2 linked regions of the Astyanax mexicanus genome follow. The protein of the gene in region 1 purifies or fractionates together with the protein of each later gene. This does not show direct contact. Links are inferred from orthologs where the notes say so. Each region holds a gene or a part of one and is shown on either strand. Other genes may lie near its edges. The genes, in order: actr3b and arpc1a.

Region 1 (15,255 bases):
TGAGGGAATTTTTTATTAAAGTAACAGAATAATTTATTAAAACTGAGGGAATCATTTATTAAAATAACAGAATAATTTATTAAAACTGAGGGAATCATTTATTAAAATAACAGAATAATTTATTAAAACTGAGGGAATCATTTATTAAAACTGAGGGAATCATTTATTAAAATAACAGAATAATTTATTAAAACTGAGGGAATAATTTACTGCATCAAGGAAAGTAATGGCTCACCGCTGTCGAGACCCTCCGCTGTCCCGGCCGCGGAAAGCGCTCGGTCGCGGCAGCGGAGGGTCCCCGCCGCGGAGAACGCGCGGCCGCGGCAGCGGAGGGTCCCCACCCGCGGAGAACGCGCGGCAGCGGAGAGTCCCGGCGGCGGACAGCGCTCGGCCGCGGCAGCGGAGCGTCCCCGCCGCGGAGAACGCGCGGCCGCGGCAGCGGAGGGTCCCCACCCGCGGAGAACGCGCGGCAGCGGAGAGTCCCGGCGGCGGACAGCGCTCGGCCGCGGCAGCGGAGGGGGCTCGACAGCGGTGAGCCAATACTTTCCAAAATAATTCCCTTAATTTAAAAATATATTTATTTATAAAATTTAAAAATCTCTCGCACTCGCCTCCATCTTGTTTTTTTCTGAAGCGAGCTGGAGAAGCCAGTCGCAATGCATGTTGGGATGCAGTACACCGCGAAGATAGCTCTCCATGCACACTGCGGAATCGGAGCGGAGTAGTACACCATCCGGGTACCTGTAGTGCACTACAGATCCTCAGTTTGGTCACATACGGTGTACTGCATACTGGCTTTAGGCAGATTTAGTACGCGAGTAGTATGTAGTATGCCATTCCGAATACAGCCCATCTCCAGCATCCAGTGCTGCTTCAGCAGCTTTAGAGACTCACAGCTGTTAGAAACAAACCACAGCTCTGCTCTGACTGAGGGAACAATAGTGAAATATATATATATATTCACCACTAAATACATTGAATACCCTAAATGCAATACCCTAAAAGGCAATACACAAAAAAAAAAATTAACAAGCTTTTATTATCCCAGCAGACAGACAATTAAGCACAATACATTTTCTCCAAACCACCCCCACTACAAAAGGCATAAAACAATAGTTTGGGGGGGTCTTATACTTATACTTCTTACATATTGTGGCGTGGAAGAGGAAGGAAGACCCGTGAGACTCATGCTGAATGCTCAACAGCTCCTTTATTGAACAGGCTTGCTACTCACTTACAGCCTTTAACAAGACTAGGAAAGCTAAAACCATCCCCACAGAGCTAAATAGCCCAAAGGCCACCAACCCAGCTGTGTGTCTCCCAGATGGCAGATCCAGAGTGGTGCCCACCCTCTCTGCATAACCCCTCCCAAGGGAGATGCCCCACCCCTGCCATCCCCACACACAGAAGAACAGAAACATGCCCGCAGGCAGCCACACACACAACCCAGAGCCGCCACATAGCCCCCCTCCCAAGGGTCAGCCGTCCCGGCGACCCCACCAACCCAACACAAACCCTGTGTACAACAGAACATTTTTATTTTTTTATTATTTTTCATTATTTTTAATTATTATTTTTTTTATTATTATCAGTCGCAAACAAAGTCATTAAGGCGGGCGGGCGGCCTGCCAGCGGCTCCGAAGAGCCAGAGTTCAGGTCAGGCACGAGTGCAAGGCCGGCAGGCTCCGGCCTATAGGGGGCCAGCCTATCACGGTGCACAATCATAGTGCGTCTGCCCCACCGGATCTTATACACCACCTCCCCCAGCCTGGACAGCACCAAGCACGGACCCACCCAGGCCGACTGGAGCTTCGGGCACAGTCCCTTCTTCCGCTGAGGGTTATATAGCCAAACCCTCGCCGCCAACGGGTCCCCAAACAGCGCGTGTCGTACGCACGCTTCTGCTTCTGTCCGGCAGCAGACTGGTTGGAGCGCGCTAGACGGTGTGCTAATTCCAGCGAAGACATAAGGTCCGAGACAAAAGTGGGCGTGTCCTCCCGTCAGGAGGCGCCCCAAAAGCCAGGGAGACCGGCGTCCTCAGTTCGCGCCCGAACATAAGCAGAGCCGGCGTGAATCCCGTCGTCTCCTGCACATGGAAAATACAGAATACAGAACCCCCAGTGAGTGCGGAGGCAAGGAAAAACTCCCTGAGAGCTGCAGGTGGAAAAAACCTTGAAAGGACCAAGACTCACTATTCTATCACTGGCCAAACAACTTTTAAATTAATAAAAAAAAAGTCTTTATACATTCTCATAGGTTTTATATATTCAGGAGTATATCAGCGCCACTAATGGAAGCAGTTAGAGTTCATGTAAGCTTGGATGTACAGTTCTATAAAGCTCATACAGACAGGCGCAGTGCATACCTGAAGGTTGCAGGAGAAATAAAAGATATGGGATAAGACAGCTTTAATTAGCACCTCCCTACGGCATGGTTCAATTAAAACCCTGATCCAGAAATCTCTTCATTCCCACTAGAGCACCATAACACTGTGATTCACCTGCTTCCTGCTTTGGTCAAAGATGCTCACCACAGAGATGAAAGTGGACACATGTTTATGTGAGGGAGTATCATTTTCCTATTTCATAAAGGAACAATAATTCACTATTTTTGTGATGCCACAAAACAACCCAAGTACATACACTATATTAAGTCTTAGGATCAGAAAATCATGCAGAATTTGATAAAATGTGATTAATACTCACCAAACAGAGAGTTGTCGAAAAGTGCTATGTGCCGATTTCCATATTATACTCAGAAGCCAGGTGTGTTGGAATAAGCAGCAAGCGTCAATTCTCACAGTATAATCATTAACCAGCATTTGCCATATTATACTCAGCAACCGGGGAGTCAGCCCAGATCTAAGCCAAGCATTTGGGCTAGAATCTGGTCTAGATTCAAATCGAAGAGTGATTTTGCTATTGGAGAAAAGTAATCAAAATTCAAAAAAGTAATAAAAAAAAAGCAACCAAAACAGAGTCAGGCTCAAAATCCAAGTGAACAAAGTGTCAAAACTAACAAAACCATAGGGGCAAAACCAAAAGTGGGAATTTCAAAAAGCAGGCTGAAATCAGTACACATACTGATAAATCACAAGATAAAGCTTGGTCCGCAATTCTAGGAGGTTGGCAATACTTCACAAAGTGGTAATGAGAGAAACGGGCCTAAATAAACAAGTGAAACAGATTAGTATTCTGGAGAAGAGGAGCATCAGAACTGTTCATGTTTGGTTGATGGGGAGGGGGGTTGTATATACAAACTATATATACATTATATTGCCTATTGACTATTTACATTGTAGATTCTCACTGAAGGCATAAAAACTACGAATGAACACACGTGGAGTTTTATGTACTTAACAAAAAAAGGTGAAATAACTAAAAACATGTTTTATATTTTAGTTTCTTCAAAATAGCCACCCTTTGCTCTGATTACTGCTTTGCACACTCTTGGCATCATTCTCTCAATGAGCTTCAAGAGGTGGACACCTGAAATGAAAAGTTTTCCAACAGTCTTGAAGGAAGGAGTTCCCAGAGGTGTTTATTAGCACTTGTTGCTCCTTTGTCTTCTTCACTCTGTGCTACAGCTCACCCCAAACCATCTGGATTGGGTTCAGGTCCGGTGACTGTGGAGGTTCAGCTCATTTTTTGTTAAGTACATAAAACTCCACATGTGTTCATTCATAGTTTTGATGCCTTCAGTGAGAATCTACAATGTAAACAGTCATGAAAATAAAGAAACGCATTGAAAAAGAGAAGGTGTGTCCAAACTTTTGGCCTGTACTGTATACGGTATATAGCAGCCTAACTCTGCATCCAAACTTCACAGTCCAGTACTAACACAGTATCTCAATTCAAACACAAATCCAAATTCAACTCATCAATGAATTCCCACACCTGAGAAATCCATTTGTCCATGTCACATTTGTGTCAGGAGTACATCATAGAAGACATTATTACCACCCACAGTTGGCAGTGCAGTGGTAATGATCGTGACCTGTGGCATCTGGCTAAAAGCGTCCATGTGTAAACTCAAAAATCGCAACCACAATCAAAGCAGGAGACCCCACACACATGTCCCACAGCTCAGAGCAGCGTTCTTTAGCTCACATGGAACATGGCAAAAGTAATAAAACCACAGTACTTACAGGACGGCATGATAAACTGTGGCTCTGTGTTTCCTGCATAGCCGATCTTGGTGTATCTGAAACACAACACAATAATGCATTAGCATAACATTAGCAGTGATACAGTGCTGCATGTCAAAATTAATAACGGTTATTTCACATTAAAAAACTGTATGCTGACTCTGAGTGGTCCAGTGGTAAATCTTTAAAAAAAAATTCTCCTTGGGTTCTAAACATTATCAAGCTCTGTGTATCTCTTGATTCTAGTCTCTACAAACTAGCTATGAATATTTTGAAGTAAACAACGAGGTAAAGTCGCACTGGATAAGGGTATTTGATAAATACATTAAATGTCAATTGTGCTTTCTCAGGGCTCTGGCAGCTGATGGCAAGCTACATGAACAGGAATCGAACCAGCAATCTCCCAATCATAGTGGCATAGTGGTTCGAATCCCGCTCATGTAGAGGGTTAGGGGCCTTGCTCAAGGGCCCAACAGTTGCGGCTTAGCGTACCAGAGCAATGATCCCACAACTTACTGTGATCAACAACCCAGCACTCTATTCACCAGAGGTGGAAAGTAACAAATTACATTTACTCACATTACTGTAATTGAGTTGATTTTATGAGTAATTTGTAATTTTATAGTAGTTTTTAAATTAGGTAATTTTACTTGTACTCAAGTTCATTTTGACACAAGCAGTTTACTTCGCTACATTGAAAAACCCCCTGTTACTGAGAAAATACTGAGAAAAATAAAATGCTGGGAAAAAAACAATTGTCTGAATTAAAAAAAAAAAAATTGCACAATGCGCCGCAGCACGGATGCTCGCGCGTGGAATAACGAGGCAGTAACGTCCTCATGCAATGTAAAATGTGCCATGCCAGACAGAGCTGTCAGCTTTCAAAACTTCCACATCAAAACTTGCGAAAGCATGCGGTGGTTAGTTATTTATATATTCTAAATTCACTGATTAGCTGTAGATCTACTTTATAAAGACTAGTAATCTCAGTTCACATGCAGCTACACAGATTATACAATCTTCTGTATTTAGTAAAATATCCAGCACAATAATCCCTTTATTAAAAATTGTACAACCTAAGCAAATTCTTTGACAGAATTTCGGAAATTTCAGGTTTTCTGAAAAATATTGAAGGTTAATGGAGATGAAAGGTGTTTGTTATCCTGTATGTTTATTAATCGACTAACGTGTATAAATGCCTAAATTAATAGTATATTAAATTCGCTGAAATCTGTATGAAATGCATCTGTCGGCGCGATGTTAACAGGCAATTGAGGCGAATATAACCTAAATACCTTAGCTAATGATCATGGGGTGGTCTAAAAAAATACTACCTGAAAGGTCCAAATTATTATGTGGAATAATAGTTCATTAAAAACGATTTAATTTATGATTTGACTTTTTTACATCAAATAAAAATAATAATTTTACTTAATTACAATTTTTCAGAACTTTTTCCACCCCTGCTATTCACTGATACTGTATATAATCACACCAGTTCTATTTAAAAGACCACATACAGTTTTTATAAAAAAATAAATGATTATATGATTAAATTACTGCCCTTTTTACATTACAGCTTTATTACATTATTCTATTATAGCCCTATTATACCCTCAGTATCATTCTCAGTGAGTAAATTAGAGGATGTCAGACTGCATCACATATCAGCTAATTGACTATTGACCTAAGTTGACTCTGTCTTCACTCTACGCCAAATCATTAATCTCTGCACATTATGAGACCTCACTCACTGTACAGTATATCAATATATCATATCATCAGCTGTGAGGAGTGCAGTCATACTCCTGCGGGAAAACCCACGGGTGCTCAACATTAGCTTCTGCTGGCAGATGGTTTTGAATGGTCTAAGCTGGTATTTGATGGTCAGTGTGGTCTTATAGGTGCAGACATATCCTATACTGGTAAGCTAGCTGGATAACAGGCTCTTGACCAGCTTATCATATACTGAATCTGGGTTTGGTCATGCTTGGTCATGTTGGTTAACCCTTACCCGTTTCCCATTTTTATTTTAATACAAATATGGACAAATGAGATGGATGGATGGATGGATAGATAGATAGGAACTTTATTAATCCCAAAGAAAATTTAGCAGCCACCAGCACTTACAGAATACAACACAGAAGCACAGACAACAATAATAGGGGAAGTAAGAAAAGTTTAACTATTACAAGATATGTACAAGAATATATAAATACAAACAATAAAAAAACTATACAAAAAAGAGATGAGACCAAAAGAAAACGCTTTTGTTTTGAAAAGAAAACACTAAATTATAACATAATATCCTTATCCCATCTGTGAAACTTGGTGGTGGTAGTATCATGGTTTGGGCCTGTTCTGCTGCATCTGGGCAGGACGGATTGCCTTAATTTATGGAACCATGATTTCCATATTAAGAGACCACTTCAGTTTCTGAATCAGTTTCTCTAATTTTGCTATTTATAGGTTTATGTTTGAGTAAAATAAACATTGTTGTTTTATTTTATTAACTACGGACAACATTTCTCCCAAATTTTAAATAAAAATATCTTAATTTATAGCATTTATTTGCAGAAAATGAGAAATAGGTGAAATAACAAAAAAGAAGCAGAGCTTTCATAAAGTTTTAAGAGTTCAGAAATCAATATTTGGTGGAATAACTCTGGTTTTTAATCACAGTTTTAATGCATCTTGGCATCATGTTCTCCTCCATCAGTCTTACACACTGCTTTTGGATAACTTTTTGCTTTTACTCCTGGTGCTAAAATTCAAGCAGTTCAGTTTTGTTTGATGGTTTGTGATCATCCATCTTCCTCTTGATTATATTCCAGAGGTTTTCAATTTGGTAAAATCATTTTTTTCCAGAGCTGTATTAGAGAATTCTAAAGGAAAAAATGTCAGAAAATCTGTCCATGAACTGAAACTAAAAAGAATGTGGGTTATGCAGCAAGACAACGACCCTAAGCACACAAGTCAATTTTTCAAAGAATAGTTACAGAAAAAAGTTACTGGAACGTCCAGGTGCAAAAGTTTTAGGCACCTAAGCAAATGACACTAATTCATTTATCTCAGCAATCCATGTGTTTTTACCTAAAATAAAAGCACCGCATATGATTTTAAGAGATGCAAATAAACAAAAATACAGTAAAACGTAACAAGAATTTTAGTTTTTTAACTACGTTAATGTTATATCCTGTGAGCCAAGCTGAAGAACAAAGTGTAGAGATTTCAGATTTCTCCTGGATGCTCCTCAGCCAGCATGTGTATATTATGTTCAAGTCCGTCAGCAGCTCACCTGTTTTACCACATTTACCAGTAATTCACCAAACCAGGTGTTGATTAATATGATGAGAACTAGAAATACAGTAACTCTATTAAACTCAGATGAGGAGGAGAGATTAGGAGATTATTGTGATGCTGGTGTTTTTATCTTATTTCACAGATAAGAAGCTTTTTCTTTATTGAAATTCCCACAGGTGCATAAAACATTTGCACAATACTGTACTGTATATAGAGTATTTTTTCCCAGTACATTTTTTTACAATATTTCCCTGTAATTCTGCATGGCTTAATAGAAAAAAAAAACACCAGAGCCAGATCAAGCTCAATTGTTGGCCAGTTTAAGTGTTTGTTTGTATGTTAGTAAAAAAAATCAGCATAAGCACAAGCGAGATTGAAAAGCTGGCACGGTTTTAGAGTGGTCACCAACAGGGCTGACCCATTTCTGTCTCTGCCAAGAAATAGGACAGAACAGTGGAGGCTGGGGGAGGCTGGAAGTTGACATTGCGCACATAGTAAAGAGTGTTGGAGCTCTGCAGCTTCAGCTTCAGCTGCTGCTGACATTAGAGAGGGTCCCCGAAGACCACCAACACCAGCAGCTTCAGCAGAAAGAAAGAGAGATAGAAAGAGAGAGAGAGAGAGAGAGAGAAAGAGAGGCATAGGGATAGAGAGCAGGAGCTCCACAGCCATAAACAGCCCAAACTCACTCACTCACCCCGTCCCGCAGTCTATCACGCACGGAGGTAAGCGCACTGCCATGTCCGGCCAGCCCCACCAGCGTGACAACAGCCCCCGCCTGCCCCGCGCGCTCTGACGCGCTCTGACGCAGCCCCGTCCCTGCCTCAGCAGCGCTGCCTCGCGCGCCCTGCTCCTGCTTTCATCCCTCTATTCGAGGGAAAGAGAGAGAGAGAGAGAGAGAGAGAGAGAGAGAGAGAGGGATCACTTCCCGAGTAAAGGGCGCAGGGAAAAAATAGAAACATGCTGGATCCGCCCATCTCTCCAATACGGTGCCAAAAATACGCTGTGCGCAATTTGGAGCAGCCAGGGAACCTCGCTGCGTTACGCACAATGCGCACTGCTGATTAACCCTTTCACACCTGAATTATATCCATTTATGGAAATAAAAAATGTAAGAATTATGTTTTTTTCTTCTATTCTACTATAAAATGTACAGCTCTGGGGGAAAAAAATAAGACATCTATTATAATTAATGTGTTTTTTTATTTTTTTATTATCAATTTTACCGAATTGAAAACCTCTGGAATATAATCAAGAGGAAGATCACCAGGAGTAAAGGCATAAAGTTATCCAAAAGGAGTGTTTAAGACTGGTGGAGGAGAACATGATACCAAGATGCATGAAAACTGTGAAAAAACAGGGGGTTTCCACCAAATATTGATTTCTGAACTCTTAAAACTTTATGAATATGATCTTGTTTTATTTGCATTATTTGAGGTCTGAAAGCTCTGCATCTTTTTGTTATTTCAGCCATTTCTCATTTTCTGCAAATAAATGCTCTAAATTACAGTATTTTTATTTGGAATTTGGGTGAAATGTTGTCTGTAGTTTATAGAATAAAACAACAATGATCATTTTACTTAAATATGTACCTATAAGCTGTAAGCCTTATTTATCTCGTTCCCAGGCCTTAATTTTCTCATTGTATCTTGTACCCATGCATTAGGTTCTTATTCCCACTCCTTAATAATTTGTGGCCATGCACTATTTTTTAACATGATGTCACCTTAGGGGCTCTGTACTAAACAGTAAAAGAAACCATGATTTAATTAGCTAAAATGTTTAATATTTTTCCATTTCCATTGCATTGGAAGCCTCTGTGTAATATTTAATATTTCGTACTGACCTTTTTTTTCATTCAATAAGCTATAAACCCTAAACAGTAAAATAAACCATGAAAATAAAGTGTTCTAAATCACATTAAATGCTGTTACTTTGCCTCAATGGCTCTTGTACTACTGTTTTTTACCAGTGTTTTTGCAGTGGGCAGGACCAAACTACTGTTTTATTGGTTTATAAACTTGTTCGATAGACATTTAAGTTCTGTTTAGATAGATAACAGCTCTCAAATACTGTTATATGCAAAAAAAAAAAACTAAAAAAAGAAAATATATTAATATGTCTATTGTAATGGATGCGGGGCCTAAATGGGTTAAATCCACTGTTGTTGTTTTCCTGTGTACATGTACACTTTTTTTTGTATGTGTATGTATGCATATATAGGTGTATATTATGGGATATATGAAAGGGATAATATAATAACGTGCAGCTTAATTCCAGGGGTTCTGTATGTATTAGTTTAAGATTTTCTTTATTTCTTTATTCCCCTAAATCCTCCACTAGGGGGCAGTGTTACACTATTAAAAAAAATACATAGTGACAGGTAAAATACTGAAATTGCACATTTTAATATTTAAATTATTTTCAGCTTTAATGGGGATAATGTCTAAAATGGGTTAAAAATAGCAATAACAGCCATTTATCACTTATATAGGTGCATACAGTGTGTATGTAGTTATTATGTATCCTAAGTTACTTTAATAAACCATTATATTTCCTACATTAAGAAACATGTAGAAACTTAAAAGTGTTAAACAAACCAAAATACTCTATGAAGCATTTAGGTGCTCTTATCTGGGGAGCTGTTAACGTGTGGTTTCTGATGCTGGATGCTGGTAACAGAGGAAACTCTCACTCTTCCTTTCATAGGGTGGTCCTAATGAGTGCCAGTTTCATCATCATAATGTTTTAAGGGTTTTTTTTGCAGTGACTGCACTTAAGGATGTTTTTTTTTAAGTTCTTGATTTTTTGATTGACTAACATTCATTTTTCTTAAAGTATTTTTTCTTTATTTAGTTAAGTAGTTCTTGCTTCTCATATACTGGATTAGATCATTACTCAAATATTCACTATTCACTGTATACCTGTAACTCTACCTCTTCACTACTTTACAACTGATGCTCTCAAACAAAATGCATAGATGTGCAAAGCTGTCATCTAAGCAAGAGGTGCTACTTTAATAAATATAAAACATATAAAATAATTTCTTATGTTTTTCTTCATAGTTTGGATGAGTTTAGTATTAATCTACAATGCAAAACATTTTAAATCAATAAAAAAAAAACACTGAATTTAAGGTGTGTCCAAATTTTTGACTGGTACTGCGTGTAGCTTTAGGTCAAAATCCTAAATCCAGATTCCAAGATCCAATCCTGGGTTTTGTGGTGATTAGTAGGTGTGACACTGCAGAGCCAATCAGCTTACAGTACAGTTTCCTAAATATCCAGTGATAATAAAACCCTGGAATGAATACTGGATCCGGATTTGATGACCGGTGTTTTTTTTAATAGGTGCTATGGTTTGGACTTTTATTTTGGCGGGTCGTGGGTTACGTTCCCGGATGTAGAAGTGCGGTGTTTGTGCGGGAAAGCTGAAGCTGAAGGATGAGCGAGAGGCTGAGGATGGCAGAGAGTGGAGCTCAGGTATACACACACACACACACACACACACTAACATATAACTTACACACACTAATATCTAACATACACACACACTAATACACGGACACACATTAACACAAACTAATACACTGTTACACACTAAATCATTGTTACACACACACTAACATATATTCACAGACACTAGCATATATATATACTAACACACTTACTAACACACACTAACATATACACACACATTAATACACTAATACACAGACACAAACACATTAACACATTAAAACACATACTAACATACACACACACATACTAATACACAGACACTAACATACACACACTAAATATATACACACTAACACTAACTTATGCACACACTCACAATTACCTACACACTCTAACACATACACACACACTAACATATATACACACAACATATTAACTAACACACACACACAAACTAACATATACACACAGACACTAACATACACAAGCACACAAACACACAATAACATATACACATATACACTAAAACACACTAACTCACAGGCACACAATAATACACAGACACTAACACACAAGCACACTAATACACACTCTTATATATATATATATATATATACACACACAAACATGTATACACACACATACACTAACATATAAACACACACAGATGCTAACATACACAAGCACACACACACTTATAACGTTTGACACACTCTAACACACACACACCAGACCAATGTTGTTTCAGTGTCTTTTTTCCATATCTGGGTGGTTACAGTATCTCAAGAAAATGAATACCCCATGAAAATATCCATATTTTCATGGATCAACACTGAAGATGTGACACTTTGATACAAAGTAAAGTAGTCAGGGTTTGTTCTTTGGTTCCTTAAAGGACTATGTTTTTTTAAAAAGCCGAAAATGTGAAGAACGTCTATCGCTTTTACAAAAATGGATGTACTATTTGCTATTTTTGAGTTTGGATCATAGCAAAATTTATTTTCTGTGGCCAGAGGTTAATGGCCATGATCATTACCTTCCACTGCACTGTCCACTGTGGGTGGTAATGCCTTCTGTGACATATCCCTGATACACAGATGACTTTATGAATCAAGTAATCTCAAATACCCACTTATCATATATATACCCCACTACTTGACCTTGCATAAACATTGTTCAGCCTCACTCACAGGATAGCACCCCACCACTCTTACAGGTGTGGGTGTTCACAAGCCATCAGCAGAAGTAACACTTCAAGTTCAAATAACATACGGCTGTCCCATGACTTTTTTTTTTTTTTTTTTTTTGCATATCTTTAACATCCATGAGTGTCTCCACAACCTTTGACCCTTGATTACCACTTGTGTGCTGCAGTTTAATTAAGGGATTTATTTATTCCACAGCTATTGGCCAGAATCGAGGGTCGACAATCACTGAAAGACATTGAGCAACATATTTTCCGAGAGGACGGTGGTCCAGCTCAAGGTAAAACAGATATATATATATATATATATATATATATGTATGTATATATATATATATCTGTAATATGTATTTTTCTTATTTCTTTCTCACTTAATTTGACTTCTTTAACTTTATATTTTATATATTTATGTGCATATCTTACCCCAGACACTGTAAGATACTGCACATGAGGTGCAACCTAAAATACCTGAATGGATTTATTAGAAGGGGTATCCACTATGCACATAAGAAAATCAACCAATATTCTTTACCACAGGTTTACCCTATCTATTTGATTGTAGTGCCACCATATGTAGTAATGAGGCAGTACGTTTTAGGGAGTTTGGACTAATCTATATATTGCCAAAAGTATCCTGCGCTTATTACATTTACATTTTATTATTGCATACAATATGCTATGGCACACCCCTAACTGAGATATAAAAAAAAAAATAAAAAAAAAGAATTTTATCAGATTTGTAACAGAAGTCAATGATCCAGAATGTCAAGATACTAATAATAATGCACTAAAATGCACGAAATAGCTTCATATATCCAGGATTAAAGTAAAATAAATGATACTGGACAGATAAAATCTTTCTCTAATAGATGTATAATGGGAAATCAGAACAGTGTGAATTTTTCTTTTGCTAAAAACAGCGAAAAGGTGGTACCCTGATGTGATAAATAGGGGTGAGTTATATGGCACTATATTTCAGGGTATAATAGTATATAATATTAATAAAATAATAATATTAAATATAATATAAAAAAATGTTGGCGATATTATTGCGTACAGCTCTGGAAAAAATGAAGAGACCACTTCAGTTTCTGAATCAGTTTCTCTGATTTTGCGATTTATAGGTTTATGTTTGAGTAAAATTAACGTTGTTGTTTTATTCTATAAACTACAGACAACATTTTTCCCAAATTCCAAAAAAATTGTTGTCATTTAGAGCATTAAGTTGCAAAAAATGAGAAATGACTGAAATAACAAAAAAGATGCAGAGCTTTCAGACCTCAAATAATGCAAAGAAAACAAGTTCACATTCATATTCAAGTTTTAAGCATTCAGAAATCAATATTTGGTGTAATAACCCTGGTTTTTAATCACAGTTTTCATGCATCTTGGCATCATGTTCTCCTCCACCAGTCTTACACACTGCTTTTGGATAACTTTATGCCACTCCTGCTGCATTAGTTTGATGGCTTGTGATCATCCATCTTCCTCTTGATTGTATATATAGAGGTTTTCAATTTGGTAAAATCAAAGAAGCCCATCATCAGAGCTCTATGTTATTATGACAGATACTGCAGCAGCACTTCCCACTGAATTACTAACTAAAGCTACACTTTGTTTGTTTGACTTTGTTTTTTGCATGCAGGTGATGTTGTGGAGTTCCACGGAGTTGAAGGCAGTGGGAAGACTGAGATGCTGTACCACCTACTGACCCACTGTATCCTCCCCAAGGACAGCGGGGGGCTGGAAGTGGAGGTGGTCTTCGTAGACACAGATTACCACTTCGACATGCTGCGGCTGGTGAGCATACTGGAGACCCGGTTGACCGGGGCGGCGGATGAGAACGCCGACGGCTCCGAGAGAGAGACGGAGGAGGCAGTCCATTGCTGCCTGCGGCAGCTCTCCGTCATCCACTGCTCCAGCTCGGTCCAGCTGCTCCTCACGCTGCACTACCTGGAGGGCACCATCTGCAGCCGGCCCTCTCTCTGCCTGCTTGTCATAGACAGCATCTCCGCCTTCTACTGGATGGACCGCAGCAGCGGGGGCGAGAGTTTGGCTCGGCAGGAGTCCAACCTGAGGAAATGCGCCGAGCTGCTGAATAAACTCCGGAGAGACTACGGCATCGTGGTGTTCGCCACAGCTCACGCTGTTATGAGGAACTACTCTTCTGCAGCACACGGGTCGTCAGAAGCGAGCGGCTCTACGCCTTCCTGGAAGAAGAACGTTATGGACTTCGACAAGCCCTATCTCTGCAGAACATGGCAAAAGATACTGACTCACAGACTGGTGTTCTCAAAATCAGAGCAGAGTCTGGAGGCAGTGGACCAGAAACAAGTTTTCTCAGTAGCGTGCAGCACTGTACGGACTAAAGGCGTGAAAAGATGTACGTTTCATGTCACAGAAGGAGGCGTTCAGTTTATTGATGAAAAATTACAAAAATGACTGTGCTGTTTCTGTAAAACACTGTATTATATTATAATAAACTCAAATAAACAAAGTCAGTGGCCAATCAGAAATCGGATCAGATCACGTAATCCAGTCCTAGTTTGAAAATGGATCAAACCTTCAGTTTCTGTTGTTCAAAACTTTCCAGTAGGATTTGGATAACTTTGATCCAAAAAAACAGGATTACCCTGATCCCAACAAGGGGTAGGATTTCAAAGTGGATTTCATGAAGAAAATGTGGTAAAACTTTAAAATCAAAGTTTTAAAGTAAAAAAAATACATTTGTACAATTTAGTGTACATACATTTACTTCTATTTTGCACTTGACCTGTTTAACTGTTACAGTGATAAAGTAGACACTGGCTACCAATTAAGCCTTTTTCTATAGTAAAATAAAAATAAAAACAATCTTGACCCCATTAAATAAACCCCCCAAAAGATTTCAATAACAAACAAAAATAATATATTCATTTTTTCATCTACGTCACTGTCATTCATCACTGTATATTAATGTCAAAGAAACATTTATCAGATATGAAGCTGTCAAAAATAATTTCGAACAATTGCAAAGAACACCAGAGTTTGTTCTGGTTCTTCAACAGGCTCAGGTGCATCATGAACATCACAGAGAGGGACATTGCGTCTGGTAGCAACATTGTGCAGGACAATACATGCAAGTGTTATGTTGCATGCTCCCT
Region 2 (16,285 bases), on another chromosome or scaffold:
TTTTAAGTGCTTTCTTTTTTTTCCGGAGCTGTGGATTCAAATGGAGATTTTTGAATGGAACCAACTTATAATTGAGTTTAGGCATACTGGGTGTGTCCCCCATTTTCTGAGTAACTCTCATCATTAGTGTGTAGTAATTCCTGCTGGGCTACCTTAGGTAAACTTGAAGATCATACATTATGGTTAACAGACTGGTCTCTGTGTTGTAGGCTATAAGAACAAGCATCATTTTCTGAGCTGCAGACACAACTCTGTGTTGGCTGTTCTCTCAATACTGTTTACTCTATTGCTCTATTTATGTGAATTAATGATTTTGAGAAAAGTCTATGAGTGAGTCTATGTTAATTTAACTTTTATGTCAGTGTTTATTTTGATTTTTTGTGGCACCCCTTTAATTTAGGCTATAATAATTCTGGCTATAAAAACAACTACAATGTGCATATATTAAGTGAAAATAACTTAATATAATGATTGCAATAAACTTAAACAAGTAAGATAAACCAGTAGTGCAATAGTTACTTTAACTTAAAAAGGTGTCAAGTACTGGCTTTTTGAAAACTTAATACATTTGAGGCAACAAATTACCTCAATTAGATTTAAATTAATAGTGTTTACAGTGTTTGTGGGGTCTTATGCTCTGAATATGGATGTAATTTCTGCAAGAGATGCTTGTCTTCTAGCATGGACAACCTTTATTTTCAATGAGGGTAACCCTCATTGTCAATGTAGCCACGTTTACATAAAAGGGATTGAAAATGAAGTTTGAATTATAAAAACAAGAAAATAATTTAAGATTTAATTAAGAAAGAATAAAATAATTAAAAATAAAAGGAAATGCAAACAGAAACAAAGAGAAAAATAGAAAAATACGTAGAATAATAAATCATAAGCACAGTTAAAGAAATAAAGGACTAAAATAACCACAATTATAAAAAAGTAACTAAAAAATGGAACTAAAATAAATAATAATAATAATAATAATAATAAATAATAACAAAAAACCACACTTATTGACACTTCTTACTGTACATATTTCACATTCTCTCCCACAGAACCAGAGCTTAATTATTATCAAGCGCAAAATGGAAGCAGACTTGACTCAAGTCTCAAACGAGAACGAGGAGCTGATCAGCGAGTTCCGCTCTGCTGATGAAAGAGCCAAGAAGGCCATCACAGATGTGAGTACTGGACTCAGTCTGAGAACTTCTCCACGTTCCTTTAAATACGCAGGAAACAGATCCTTACAAATTCTCTAATGGCTCTTTCATCTCTTCTCCAGGCAACCCGTATGGCGGAGGAACTGCGGCAGGAGCAGGACCACTGCATCCATCTGGAGAAGATAAAGAAGAACAATGAGCTGATGATCAAAGATCTGCAGCTGAAAGTGGAAGAGGCAGAGGAGCTAGCCTTAAAGTCAGGCAAACGTACCATCCAAAAATTAGAAGTCAGGGTGAGTCCTAGATAACACCTGTTTCTGCTTATCAGTTTGTTTTATACATACACTGACTCATACTGACTTACAGTGACTTAAACACACACACAGAGGGAAATATAAAGTATTGGAGGCTTAGGGCCGGTTCTACAGCGCCCCCTACTTTTCAAAAAGGAGACGATCAGAAATAATATTTTTTAGAAAACTCTGCATTAAAAAAAAAAAAAAAAACATCCTTACAGTGTTTTATGATTTCCATAAAACTACCCCCACCAACAGCCCCAGTTCTAGACTGCATTGCTTGGGGGGCAGTAGAATATAATGGGTGGGCATGTTGATAATCATATTTTTAAATCCAGTGCTAATGATACTGGCTAAATTGATGTATTTAGTAAAGTAATACAAATTTAGCATGCATCTTCAACAGAAAACAACACAATATAAGATTTCCCATAATGTATATTTATTGAATGAAACACAAAATACATGCAGAGGGGTATCAAGGTTAAGTCTGTGTTAGGAGAGATTAGCGATTAGCTGCTACTAACCAAGTTAGTAGCTTGCCTAACAGCTAGCTGCTAATACTACAAGTTAAGCAACAAAAGGGTTACATATCAGTAACACTGAGCAACCAATCACCACAGTTTACAAAACATTACCTTGTGGAAGTCAGTTTAAACTGGAAGAAGTGTTTAATTCGCCCATATATATCCCTGCCTCTTATGTTCACACTACAGGACCTTTCATACTGAACCAGAACATCTTTTTTGAATGAACTTCTCCAACAGTTTGCTGATTTTATATGACTCAAAGAGCCAATCAGAAATAAGCACGCAAATATCTTCTCCTTGCACAGCAATATGGGTTTTTGTGATTGGTACAGAGATTTTTTCAGAGCTAATTTAAAAAACAGTCGTTGCTCATTGTGCTTCAACCTACCCAGCAGAACCTCTGGAATTAACAAACTCTATCTTCATCAACCAAAAAGTCTAGTTTAGAGAAACATATGGTTCAGAGTGGAAATGTACACGTCTGACTGCATCCAATAATTATTTCTAACACAAACTGAGCCTTTCTTTTTGCTCTAATCCAGCTGAATCCAACACTAAATAAACAGCTGTCCCCAAACATCTAACAGTTTTTGAATGAGCAAGAGTTCCAATACTGGACCAATTAATGCCTTTGTCTATAAAGTGCCTATAAAACCAAATCAGCCTAAAATGCATCAGTGAAAGCTTTAAAAAATAAAAAACATCAGTAATAAACATTGTTAAATGATTACATACTGGCTCAACTAATTATTAATTGACATTAGTTGAAACATGATTATACAATTCTAAATGTTTTAAAAAAATAAGTTATAAAAAAAATAAGTTTCTTTGATTTTACCAAATTGAAAACCTCTGGAATATAATCAAGAGGAAGATGGATGGCCACAAACCATCAAACAAAACTGAACTGCTTGAACTTTTGCACCAGGAGTGGCATAAAGTTATCCAAAAGCAGTGTGTAAGACTGGTGGAGAAGAACATGCCAAGATGCATAAAAAAAACTGTGATTAAAAACAGGGTTATTCAACCAAACCATATTCACTTTATGAATATGAACTTGTTTTCTTTGCATTATTTGAGGTCTGAAAGCTCTGCATCTTTTTTGTTATTTCAGCCATTTCTTATTTTCTGCAAATAAATGCTCTAAATGAGAATATTTGTATTTGAAATTTGGGAGAAATGTTGTCGTAGTTTATAGAATAAATCAACAATGTTCATTTTACTCAAATATATACCTATAAATAGCAAAACCAGAGAAACTGATTCAGAACTTAAGTGGTCTTTTCCAAAAATGTGTAATGTATAATAATGTCTTAACTAATGTCAATTAATAATTATTTGAGAAAATATGTTGAGACAACCAATAAAAATGTTTATTACTGCTTTTAATTTTTTTTACAGCTTTCACTGCTGCATTTTAGACTGATTTGACTTTAATTAATTAGCTTTTATTAATGTAGACTTATTTTAAACTTGAACGTTTAGCTTTGTGTTGCAGTTGATTAGCAGTATGGATAAAAACTAAGGGTCAGTTTCCTAAACAGTGATTAAGCCTAGTCTTGGGCTACACAGCTTTTTGCATTTCCCATTGAAAGGAACATTTAGTGTAGGTTAGGTTATGGTTAATTCCTGTCTGGAAAATACAGTTTAGTTTAATATGAATTCCTTAATGGTCTTTGGTGCATAATATTTCAAACCCCCACAGCTTAACCCCTTTTTGCTGTGAGCAGGTCAGGGAGTTGGAGAGTGAGCTGGATGTGGAGCAGAAGAGACATGTGGAGACGGTGAAGGTCCTGCGTAAGAACGAGCGCCGCCTGAAGGAGCTGATCTTCCAGACTGAAGAAGACCACAAAACCAACCAGCGCATGCAGGAACTGGTGGAGAAACTGCAGAACAAACTCAAGTCCTACAAGAGGCAGATAGAGGAAGCTGTGAGTGCATACCTGTGTTTTGCGCTTTAGTGTACATGTATCATACATGCAGATGTGGAACATGTGAACATAAATATGTGTTGTACTGTACTGAAATGTAAATGTAAATACCAGGAAGGTCCTGGTTGTGCAATAGCAGTGCTACTCTAATCATGAATTTACCTCAGCAGAGCTTTTCTAATCATGAATTTAACTCAGCAGAGCTTTTCTAATCATGAATTTACCCTAGCAGAGTTTCTAATCATGAATTTACCTCTGCAGTGCTTTTCTATTCATTAATTTACCTCAGCAGAGCTGTTCTTATCATGAATTGTGCTACTCTAATTTTGAATTTACATCGGCAGTGGTATTTAAATCATGAATTTACCTCTGCAATGCTATTCTAATCATGCATTTACCTCAGCAGTGCTATTCTAATCATGCATATACCTTAGCAGCCCTACTCTTATCATGAATTTACCACAGCAGTGGTGTTCTATTCATTGATTTACCTTGGCAGTGTTATTCAAATCATGAATTTAATTCAGCAGTGCTATTCTTTTCAATAAGTTACCTCATCAGTGCTATTAAAATCATGAATTTACCACTGCAGAGCTGTTCAAATTATTAATTTGCCCCAACAGTGATATTTAACTCATAAATTTACCTCAGCAGAGCTACTTTAATCATGAATTTGTCAGCAGTGCAATTCTCATTATGAATTTACCTCACAAGTACCAAAAGTCAGTTTGAAAAGGGAGCTTTTTACATCTGGAACAAATGCTGCTAAATTGACAGAGAGTCGATACTTCTCTCGATACTTCTCTCTTTTTACCACTAAAAAGAGGTTTTGTAAAAATCCTCCTGCTGTAAATTGTATTTTTTGCCTGGTTGCAGGAGGAGCAAGCCAACACAAGTCTGTCTAAGTACAGGAAGACCGTGCATGAGCTGGATGATGCTGAGGAGAGAGCGGGCAATGCTGAGATGGCTCTGAACAAACTCCGAACCAGGAATCGTGCTTCAGTGACCAAGGGCTTTACTAACGTAGAGATCGTGCAGATCTCTAAAACCTCCAAGAGTTCCTCAGAGGAGTAAGAGTTCTGACCCATGCAGGAGGTTAGCATCAGTGATAATAGAGTTTATTTCTATTTTATTTTCCTCTGCTTGTAAAAATGTACTCTCACATTGTGCTGAAATAGTTTTGGAACTGCTAATTTATAGTAAATCACTTCCAATATGTAATTAAAATGATGTTAAGTTCTTAATATATACGTATATACATACATATATGTGAATACACTGGTCATATGTTATTTTAACCACTTATAATACATTTTAACTATTTTTTTGTTTATCTGCCCAAATGAACAATAAATATACTTTAAAAGTGTACATAAAACATTATTTTACAGCAAATACTGTGCTCATTAATAGCATACTTAATATATTATGATGTGAAATATTGGAATATAATTACGATATTTATGCAATTATTCTGAACTTTTACATGTCTTGTTTTAGTATAGTAAAGTATATACTTTGAGTATATACTTCACTTTAGGGCACTTAAATGCATTTTTAGTGAAGTACAACTTATAAACTAATATGTATGAGTCATATTCTTGCAAATATTTGTAATATTATTTATTGACACTGACATAAAAACCATGAAACGAAAATTGATTAAAAAATAGCTAATTTAAGTACATAAATATATCTAACTATAACTAGTACCAAATTAGGTTAGACGAATAAAGCCTAATTTTTCAAGGGTAAAGTTTAAAAATAAAAAATAAATATAATTCTGCGCATCATTTAATGTTGATCAATCAATTTGTTCTCACTTTCAATACATTGAGGGTGACTCCCATTTACAATGTTGCTGAGCATTGTACAGCAGGAAGGATTTATAATAGTAAGAATGAATTCAAGATTTAAATGTATAGCAGGGAAAATAAAACAAGACATAAAAATATACATAGAAGTAAATCTATAAAACAGTAAAAATCTATAATAATTTAATATTAAGGGTAAATAAAATAACTAAAAAGTGTAAATAACAAAATAATAATAACCCTGTATAAATAAGACTATTATTAGACTATTAAATATACATTTTTACAAAGGTCCAAATTAAATCAGCTGTTTTGAACTGTCTAGATTTAAGTAGTTTTGACACTTTGTGATATAACACTCATTTATGCTTTTTCTCTCCTCAGAGTGACGGACAGACCAGCACTCATTCCCCACTGGAAGACCTTCTACACAGCGGACGAGATTAGAGAGATTCACCGAAGTCTTAAAGCTAAACTGAAAAGTCTTAACTAGTGTGTGTGTGCGTGTGTGTGTGTGTGTGTTGTACTGTGTGTTAGATGAATGTGATGGGTTTGATCTGAAGCTGTGTAGAAATGGTCTTCAGTAATGGGGTCTGATTGGGGGAAGCTGCACTCTCATGTCAACGATAGAGGGTACACCTGTGTTTGTCACTCTCCTGTCATGAGAAAAAATTATCAAAATAAACTTTAAGCAAGGATTACTGTGTGTTCTTCAGTTATTAAGAAATCGAAAGTATTTGTGTTATACAGTATATCCCTTTTTTCATTTCTGGTTGGTGGACTATTCTCAGTCCAGCTGTGACTTTAAGTGGTTTAAAAAACTCCAGCAGCACTGCTGTATGTGATCTGACATTATTTTATTTATGTATGATTTATTATTATTTTGTAAGCTGAAATGAAAGAAGATTGTTTAGCCATATGTTTAGTAATACTAAGGCTATTTATTAGCTAAAAGTTAATTTGCTACATACATAAAAAATACTAATATGTATAATGAAGTAATAGGGAACAAATATAAAATATAAAGAGCAAAAGTTAAATATTGTAAATGTTTTTAAAATAATTGTATTTTTAATGATGTACATTATGCCACAATCCTACAACCTAAAGCCCCATAGCCACAACATCTTAACTTCAGTGGATAATTCCAGTGTTCTCTTTTTAGAAACCTAATATGGTCACCAACAAGGGCACAGTTTCTGGAACATCTGCTTAATTCTGCTTGATTGTTCTAAAATCAGGGGTCTTAAAAAGAGTTTATCATGCTTTTGTTGGAGTAACTGTCTCTACTATCCAGGGGTGCTTTCTGCTTGAGGTTGCTGTGAAGATTTGATTGCATGCAGTGACAAAAGCATTAGTTAGGTCAGGATGTTGAATTATCACCCCACCTCATCCCATTAACATTAGAGCTCCATCATTCCAGAGAACACAGTTCCACTGCTCCACAGCTCAATCCTAGTGGGATTATACCCCTCTAGCCCTGGCCTAGCATTAGACATGGTACCAATAGTCTCATGTAGATTCCTTTTCTTTTGGCAGTAGTCCTCTACAGACCATAAGCTGAAAGAAAGTTTATAAAGAAGTAGCAGGCTTTCTTATGGTATAAGATTTATTACCAAGCAGAAATAATCTACCAAACACATTTTTGGTTTATGTTTGTGCTTTCTGCTTGAGGTTGCTGTAAGGATTTGATTTAATTGAGTGACAAAATCATTAAAGAAGTCAGGATGTTGATTTATCACCCCACCTCATCCCATTAATATTAGATGGAGCTCCATCCTTCCAGAGAACACAGTTCCACTGTTCCACAGGTCAATACTAGTGGGATTATACCCCTCTAGCCCTGGCCTAGCATTAGACATGGTACCAATAGGCTTAAGTCATTTTCTTTTGTCAGTACTTCTCTACAGGGACTGGATATGTTGGGTGTGAGAATGTTTTTACTTATTTTACAGAATTTACAAAAGAAAAAACTGCAGGCTTTGCCACATTTCAGTGCGATTTTTTTTTTATTATCAAGCACAATCTTCTTGGGACGCCCACTTCGTGGCCTGTCTTTGATATCCCCTGTTATATGGAACTTGGCCTTTAATTCGGAAATGGTACTAGGGCTGACTACAAATAATACAGAAACTTGGATTTGTGGGACAACAGCTTGAAATTGCCCTATCGCACAGGCTCTTTCCAGATCAGTTAAACGTGGCATGATGCTGATTCCTGGAGCCGACACCTATTGACCACTGTAGCAGAACCTATGCTCACTGGTGCTGCCAATCAGGTCGCAATCAGGAGGCACCTGGGGTACCATAGGTTCAAAGGATTTTATCAAGGCTTTCTCATGGTATACGATTTATTACTAAGCAAAAATAATCTACCAAAACACATTTTTTTTTATGTTTGTGCTATGTTTTTTTTTTTTTTAAGTACAGTAGTGAAATGGTTCTACTTTATTACCATACATCTCTGACTCTCTCTAACCTGTAATATTTCCCTTGCGGGCATCAGGGAGTATTAATATGATGTAGACATCTGTGTAATGTGAACCTAGCCCTAAGCCCTACCCAGATGTGATTAGTTTCCCGGGGGACATCTGTGAAAAATATTTCACACTTCTACTCAGTGATAAAACTGTTCAGTAGCTCCTCCATTTCCACTCGCTGCTGTGTTTCTCTGTGTAAACGGCTGCTGTGGATCTCTGTGGAAACTCGTGCCAAAAGTGTAATGATGGTACGTGTCAGTGGACAAATAGCTATTTTATTAAACTACATTTTAACGTTTTTTTTTATATCAAACACTGAATAAAAGCCTAGTCCAGATTTTCCACTATATTGAATGGCACTGCTTTTCCCTCCCTTTCGCTCGTCCCCGGCGTTTGCTGTGCGTACGCATGCGCAGTGCGGCGCGTCTGTCCAGAGTGTCGTTGCCATTTCCCGGATTCCTGGGCAGGCCGAGTTCAAGCGGAGCAGCCGGAGTGGATTCGTGTCGACTGGCCAGAGTCCGCGAATTCAAGTCCGTCCGAAAAGGCGAAGCAGCGGCGCGGCGTCTGCGGATATCTCACCTCCGCAACAACCATCCAGGTATCGGGGGTATCTAGCTGCTGTCGGTTTTCTGTGGCGGAGCGGCGCAGGCCTCGGGCCCGGCTGTGGGTGTGCGGGAGCAGGCAGGAGTGAGCGGGGATGAGCCGGCATATCGGAGGGGTTTGGCCGGTGTACTGTCAATTTGTGCAACCGTGTCGAAACGGGCTACCGTGGTGTACTGTGCTTATTTGTAACGCCTCGCTAATTTTCTGATTATTCTTAAATAAAACATAATCTTTAGATTATTAAAGAAACATCCATCTATGATCAAGAAACACGTTAAAACGTTTACAGTTCTCGGTCTGCGCATGTGCAGAACGTTGACGTTACATATATTAACGGGTAGCACAACTCGACAGAACACCGGTCTGCTGACCACAGAGCGAGGCCCACCCATCTTTATGGTGAAAATTAGCGCCGGGAAATGGGTGTTATTTCGCTTAAAACACGATTAAGGAGGTTTTATTCAAGACAAATGTTTACTTTGTCCTATTTTAACGATTCTAATGAGGTTTAGCTGTGGGTTTCCATATCTAGAGCATTGATACTGGCTTGGTACTGATGGAAATCTTCACTCCAGGTCCGGAACGTAAAAATCCAACCCCAGGATTTGTTCCAACTGCCAGGGCGGCACAGCTGCAGCTGAGGCGCCCTGACAGTTGGAACGAAATCCTGGGAGGGGAGTTTTACCTTCCGGACCTGGAGTCAACACTTCTAGATATAGCCCTGCTTGTAACAATTAGCCGCATAGCTAGCTTAGCTAGATACTACGTTAGCTTAGCTCCAGCAGTAGAAGCTGATATTGATCCACGCCCTGAAACCAAGAAGTGGACATTTACTGAAGTTATTCTGGTTCTGCAGGTTTTGTGAGAAACCTTAGCTTCGTCTAAAAACATCCAGTTGAGTATTGAGAAGCTCTGGTGAGGGACTGAAAGCGATTTAGGCCCTCAGTGACTGACTCTGCTGTTCCTTTTGCTGCCATTAATGCTATCTAACTAACCTAAGCTTGCTAACTAGCTACCTGTATAACTAGATATGTAGGTTGGTTGGACTGCAGTTTGGTTTTCTGACTGTTTGAGGATAAATTTGTAAATATATATTATTAAAAAAGGTTATGTCAGATTTTCCATTTAGTATATTAAAGAAGAAATGGGTTTCCATCATTTTTTGAAGTGTTGTTCTAGTATTTTTTATCATTATTTCCGCCCTCACAATCTAAATTACATGATTTTCTGATTTTTGATCCATTTTTGCATCTTGATGGTATAATATGAAAACCTGATGGCATAATTTTAGTAAAGTGAATCTCAAATTGTGAGGGGTTACAAAAATGGGTCAGTGTAACATATAGTAAGCCTTTAATTGATTATCTGATTCCTGCATCTTGTAACAAAAATCTGATGATATAATTCATCCTACTTTTGTTGCAAGGTAAAAAAATAAGTAAATAAGAATTTAAATTGTAAAGGGCGGAAATTGAAAATGAAAAATTATATAAAAAAAAAATATATATATATATATTATTATTTTGTTTTACCCTGTGGAATAATAAAAAATATTTTATAGTTTTTTTTTCAGCCAGTCACAATGGGGAAAAAATGGGGGAAAAAATCAATTATCTGATTGCTCCGTTTTTGTGTTTTTAACAAAAGTGGGTTGGATTATACTATCAGATTATACCATCATATTTTTTCCCTGAAATTTTGATTGTTAGGGTCAGAAATTGAAAATGAAAAATAATATATATATGTAATAATATGTAAAACATGTAGCTGTCGGTTCAAGTTTCTAACCGTTTTAGTGCTATTGTTAATATATACAATTATATTATAAACAATAACATTTTTAATTTTCGCATGGTTTGATGGTTATTTTATTTTTGTCATCATTTGGTACAATTATAAATACAGTTGTAACAAGAAATCCAATTTCCTCTTCAATATATAATCATAATTTATATTGAATTTAGTCATAAATGATCATTAAAGTTAACTGATAAGCATTAAACTGACCCCATTTACTCTCTGGTTTATTTTGGTGCCAAAATAATATTATAAAATTGATTTTCTGCCGTATATATTGAGATATTAAAAGACAGGCAGGTTAATGATCCAACATGTCATGCTATTAATATTATTGCAAAGTGGCTTTACAGATATCCAAAAGTAAGAACAAATAATAAGCAAGTCAGATTTGACAGTCACAGTAATGAGAAGGAAGAAAATTTGGGAGGAATCAAGACAAATTTATAACTGCTTGTACATTTTTGATAAAAGTCTTTGTACCACCTCATACCATTTTTTGCTATGCTGAAGCTATAGGCATAGTAGTGATGGTAGGAATACTGAAATTATTGATGGGTACTGGTGGAAATAATACTTATAATAGCAGTAATTAGAAGAAGAAACTTTACATTCTTACAGTGCTAGTCCTTCATTAACATTCAGGTTATAGATGGAAACTGTACAACATAAGCTAAAGACTAGAGACATCATTAAAAGTAAAGACATGATTAAACACTTTATACATAAATCAGTAGCTATATGTGCATGTATGTAATAAAATAAAATGTAATGTGTATGTACAGTTTGGTATGTCATCGAAAAAATAAAACACTGAATGACTCAAGCAGCAAAAAAGGTGTACTAAGAAAGGTTTGACTGAATTTGCCTCCAGTCCTAAAACCCTATATTGAGAAGCCCTAGTTGGCTTCCTATTTAATTATGGCTATGAGGTAATGCACTAAAGAATTTCATTCTGTTAACACTATGGTATGTAACTAAGGCATGTTTCTTTATTCAGGGCTGCAAAAAAAAAGAAATACAAGAAAATGTCACTCCACCAGTTTCTCTTGGAACCCATCACATGCCATGCATGGAACCGGGACAGGACTCGTAAGTAGCCAACTCATTAATCATCTCCCAGAGTGTTGAACATGGCCTGGCATTTACACTGTAATGTTGAGAAATTATTCATTCTGCTTGTCTTTCTCAGAAATTGCTATCAGTCCAAACAATCACGAGGTTCATATATACAAGAAGAGTGGAAATCAGTGGGTGAAAGCTCACGAGTTAAAAGAACACAATGGGCACATCACAGGTAAGCGCCTCTCTGATTAGGCTTTCTTGCAGTGATGTGAAAACGAATTGAATCCTTAGTAAGAAAGACAGTTGTCAAAAAAAAAAATGTCAACATCCAATAGCAGAGCTAAGAGAAGCCGCAAGGTAAACGCAGGAGCGTTTTTCAGAACTGGACATAGATAAGACTCCAGCGAGGTTTTGGAAACCTAAGTTCTTCTGGAGTGTACAGAAAGGAGGAGAAACTGGTGGAGCTGTGGAGTGAGCAAGAGTGTCTCTTTGACTTGTCTTCCCATTTATACCAAGACAAAGTGGAAAAGTATACATTAATAAATGTAAAATAATCTCAGAAAGAATCTAGTTGCAGTCTTGCAAAATAATGTCCCTGCAAGATCCCCATTCTTTGCAAAATCTTAGTCTCTGACTAAAAAGTCTGTGATTTGTCTTTAGGTGTGAGAGGGTGTCAGACTTTAATCTATTAAAAGTCTTTTTAATTCATCTAGTGTATGGTTAGCTTTATTTGGATTGTTTTAGTTTTTTTTCAATCCAAATAAGGCTATCTATTTCATTTGTTTTGTACATTCTCATTTTTGATCAAACTTGCATCCTGACAGTAATTAGTCACCAAAGTTTGAGCTAATTTATTGTATTTAGTTCACATTGGCATATAATCACATTCACAACAGCAGTAAACGATTGGTTCAACACAGTGCACAATGCAGACAGTTTCATCTCACGTCTTACTCTGCTCACTTGGAACCACTTGCAGGCAGGTACTAAAAAGGAACCAAGTACCAGGTACCAAGCTTGATTAATTTAAGGTGTTTAGCACATACATGCACTCTGAGACTAAATATGGCAGATAATAGTGGCCAAAAACCTTTGTCCAAAGAATTATGTGAAGCAACATCTGCCTGGAAATACAATGATATGAATCTGAATGGGACTAAAATAATTAGATAGTCACTGAGATTAGTGCAAAAAAAAGTAGGTATTAACACATCCTGTCCTTTCCTCAAACAAGACAAGTTTAATCCAGGTGGGAATAAAACATCAGAAAGCTCAGTAAAGCTTTTAGCTTTTGTTTATATTTATATTTTATTAAAATAAGCAGTTTGATCTGAAACATTTAAATGTAGCAAATATGCAAAAATAGAAGAAATTAGGAAGGTGATATTTTTTTTTTTACAGCACTGTAGTGTGTCCCATCATTACATTTGACAAAACATGACCCTAGACTTGATGTGAGCTCATCATTGTTGCACAACTGTTTTAGGCATTGACTGGGCTCCTAAAAGCGATCGGATTGTAACCTGCGGAGCGGATCGCAATGCTTACGTGTGGAGCCAGAAGGACGGCGTTTGGAAGCCCACTCTTGTCATCCTCAGGATCAACCGTGCTGCCACGTTTGTGAAGTGGTCTCCACTGGAGAATAAGTTTGCAGTGGGCAGTGGAGCTCGCCTCATATCTGTTTGCTACTTTGAGTCTGAAAATGACTGGTGAGTCTGAATTGGAGCTTCTAGTGAACGTTTTAGGAGCCTTCAGTTTAAAACAGATCACATTGCAGCTGTTCTGTGCATAAATATGCTTTCTATGTTTTTTAAAAAGGTGGGTTAGCAAACACATCAAGAAGCCTATCCGCTCCACTGTCCTCAGTCTTGACTGGCATCCAAACAATGTACTTCTGGCAGCTGGGTCATGTGACTTTAAATGCAGGTAAGTTTGAGTCTCACGGTTACCTGGAATTTTCATTGAGAGTCCGCTATTCCCGTTATGGGCACGTGACTACTCGCAATCATATCACTCCTGTGTAAAGTCTAGGTTCTCCTTATAGCTTCACAGAAAAAAAAGAAAAAAAAAAGTATTATAAGCAGAGACCTTATTAGTGAGGATGTATGAATGGGATTTCTTGTAATGCTAAAAATTGCTCCTGTTTATGGAAAAAGTCTTGCCCTTAACAAAAAGAGCCAATCAGCTGCTTCTTGTGTGTAGACTGTAGGAGTGTCAGCATGCTGGTAGGAAAGCCCCTGTCCCGTCCCCCCATTCAAACAGACATAAGTGCCCGGCCAAGTGAACTGACATTTTTATAACAACTTTTTAAGAAGTTTTAGAGTATGTCAAATAATAAAAAAGTGGCATAATCAGAGATACAAGGTTTTTGTGTTGCCCCAGCGCTCACTGAGGGTTCAGTGTTTTCTGATTCTTTGTCCTGTAAAGCTGCTTTATGACATCAGTTGTAAAATGTGCTATACAAATAAATTTGATTTTGATTTGTTACAGTGACAATAACAATATTTGTTTTACTCTATATTTCCAAATGGTTGTGGACACTCCTTTAAAAAATGTTAGTTACACCAATTGCTGATACAGATGTACAAATGCACACTGTGTGTTTAGTCCCTGTAGAGAAGCCAACAGAATAAGACTGTCTGGAGCAAATAAACACAAAGCTATTGGTACCATGTCAAATGCCACACATGGACTAAAGGTTATCCAATCAGGTGGTGATCATCCATCGTCCTATAATCTAAGAGAAACATCCCCAGAAAATTAGAGACAGTTACTTCATCAAAAACTGCATAAAGTCTTTTAATACCTTTTGATTTCGAACAAAACCATGAAAGATCTTTGGCATCTATTTCAGACAATGCCATGTTTATTTGAACAGGCTGCTGTTGCTTTTCAGAACAGTGATGGACTTTTGTCTGTGTCCTTATAGTCATGTGACATCTATCTCTTTCGCAGGGTATTTTCTGCATACATCAAGGAGGTGGATGAAAAGCCAGCTCCAACTCCATGGGGGTCCAAGATGCCGTTTGGGCAGGTGATGGCAGAGTTTGGTGGGGCAGGCAGTGGAGGATGGGTCCACAGTGTCTGTTTCTCTGCCAGTGGGAACAGACTGGCCTGGGTCAGCCATGACAGCACTGTGACTGTGGTGGACCCCACAAAAAGCTCAACGTGAGAATCTTAATATGATTGCATTTTTTTATGTTTTCAGAAAACATTGTGTGTTTTCAGATTTGTTTTGTTGGCCCTTTTTTCTGAAAGACTGCTTCCTTTTGTTTGCAGGCCAAGCCCACTGAAAACAGAATTCCTTGCTCTTCTGAGCGTCACCTTCGTTTCTGAGAACAACATTGTGGCAGCGGTAAGGGCAGGTTACAGTTTACAGCACAGGTTCAGGTTTTATTGTCATTTTTGTCTCAGGATTCAGTTTTAAAGTGGTGTTTTTCCTCTGAAGGGTCATGACTGCTGCCCAATGCTGTTCAGCTTTGATGATGGTGGAACCTTGACCTTCATATCCAAGTTGGACATTCCAAAGCAGAGCATCCAGCGCAACATCTCTGCCATGGAGCGCTTCCGCAACATGGACAAGAGAGCCACCACTGAGGACCGCAATAGCACTCTGGAAACCCTTCACCAGAACAGCATCACGTAAGTCTCATGCCCTGGTCGTGGTCCTGAATAGTGTTTGGACACTGGCTTCAGATTAGGCCTGTAGAATATTGACAGAACTAACAGTTTTTCCACTGCAATCACTGCAGTCACAGATCCAACATGTCATGAAATTGGTAATTAGGACTGGATATCGAAATTTGATACCATAAAGACACAGTGGTCCAAAATGTCTCGGTACTACAGAGTACCAAAAGGTCCAAAAAAATTTGGTGCCTGTTTTCGATACTTTGCATTAAACCTGCATAAACGCGCACAGAAACACAGTCTCTTGCTTGACCTCTTGTGCGCCGTCTCTCTTTCTCTCTAGCTCATTCACGTTGTCTCTCTCTCATTTTCATTCGCTTTGTCTCTCACGCAGTCCTCCCCTCTACCCTGAGATATTATAATACAATAAAAAATGATCTAGTCTGCCAAACCTAAACCACACTACACTATTTTAGCTGTTCCCTCACAATAATACAGGGAACTAGCATGAAACTTGATATTTAATTTTTAAGTGATTGACACCACTCTAATAAAAATAATTTAGTTTTGCCAATCTAATGCAGATATTTTTTTAAAAGAACTGAAATGCATCCAGTATTATGCTTAGTGAAAATATTTGTAGTAACGCTGTTGTTTTGGTTCTTAATAAAGCGCCACAAACAACCAACAAGATCCAAAATTATGGTAGTCTCTCACAGTGATAGTTTAAACATGTTTTGTGAGAATAATTATCGCTTTTTGTATATATTTTTTTTAGTTACAATTAAAAAAAGATATCGAAAAAAGTATTGTTTGGGTATCTGTACCAGATTTAAAGTATTGTATCAGTATCAGTACTGAACATTTTTAAACGATAACCAGCCCTATTGGTAATGCACTTTGTGTAGCCATGTAAGCTAAAGGAAGCAGCTCTAACCTGTGGAGTTTTCCTAGAATTGGTAAATGTCTGCACAATTTAGAAA

Evidence for each region.
Region 2: the proteins of actr3b (region 1) and arpc1a purify together in Homo sapiens (affinity purification with mass spectrometry; 5 studies listed by BioGRID and IntAct, counting the BioPlex papers as one, with this or other methods). This does not show direct contact. The link is inferred for Astyanax mexicanus from reciprocal best matches to the Homo sapiens genes ACTR3B and ARPC1A.

The regions. Positions count from the first base shown.
Region 1 is NC_064413.1:52,128,576-52,143,830, reverse strand, and holds the start of actr3b (actin-related protein 3B), read right to left. Parts: upstream 8,334-15,255; 5' UTR 8,189-8,333; coding exon 8,145-8,188; intron 4,204-8,144; coding exon 4,148-4,203; intron 1-4,147. Other genes in the region: DNA repair protein XRCC2, read left to right, coding at 10,891-10,929, 12,312-12,393, 13,758-14,554. UniProt on the Homo sapiens protein: Plays a role in the organization of the actin cytoskeleton.
Region 2 is NC_064410.1:54,814,860-54,831,144, forward strand, and holds the start of arpc1a (actin-related protein 2/3 complex subunit 1A), read left to right. Parts: upstream 1-8,634; 5' UTR 8,635-8,805; intron 8,806-11,607; 5' UTR 11,608-11,635; coding exon 11,636-11,699; intron 11,700-11,799; coding exon 11,800-11,904; intron 11,905-13,158; coding exon 13,159-13,381; intron 13,382-13,490; coding exon 13,491-13,598; intron 13,599-14,627; coding exon 14,628-14,840; intron 14,841-14,951; coding exon 14,952-15,027; intron 15,028-15,120; coding exon 15,121-15,314; intron 15,315-16,285. Other genes in the region: myosin-16-like, read left to right, coding at 1,053-1,178, 1,280-1,450, 3,714-3,914, 4,791-4,988. UniProt on the Homo sapiens protein: Probably functions as a component of the Arp2/3 complex which is involved in regulation of actin polymerization and together with an activating nucleation-promoting factor (NPF) mediates the formation of branched actin networks.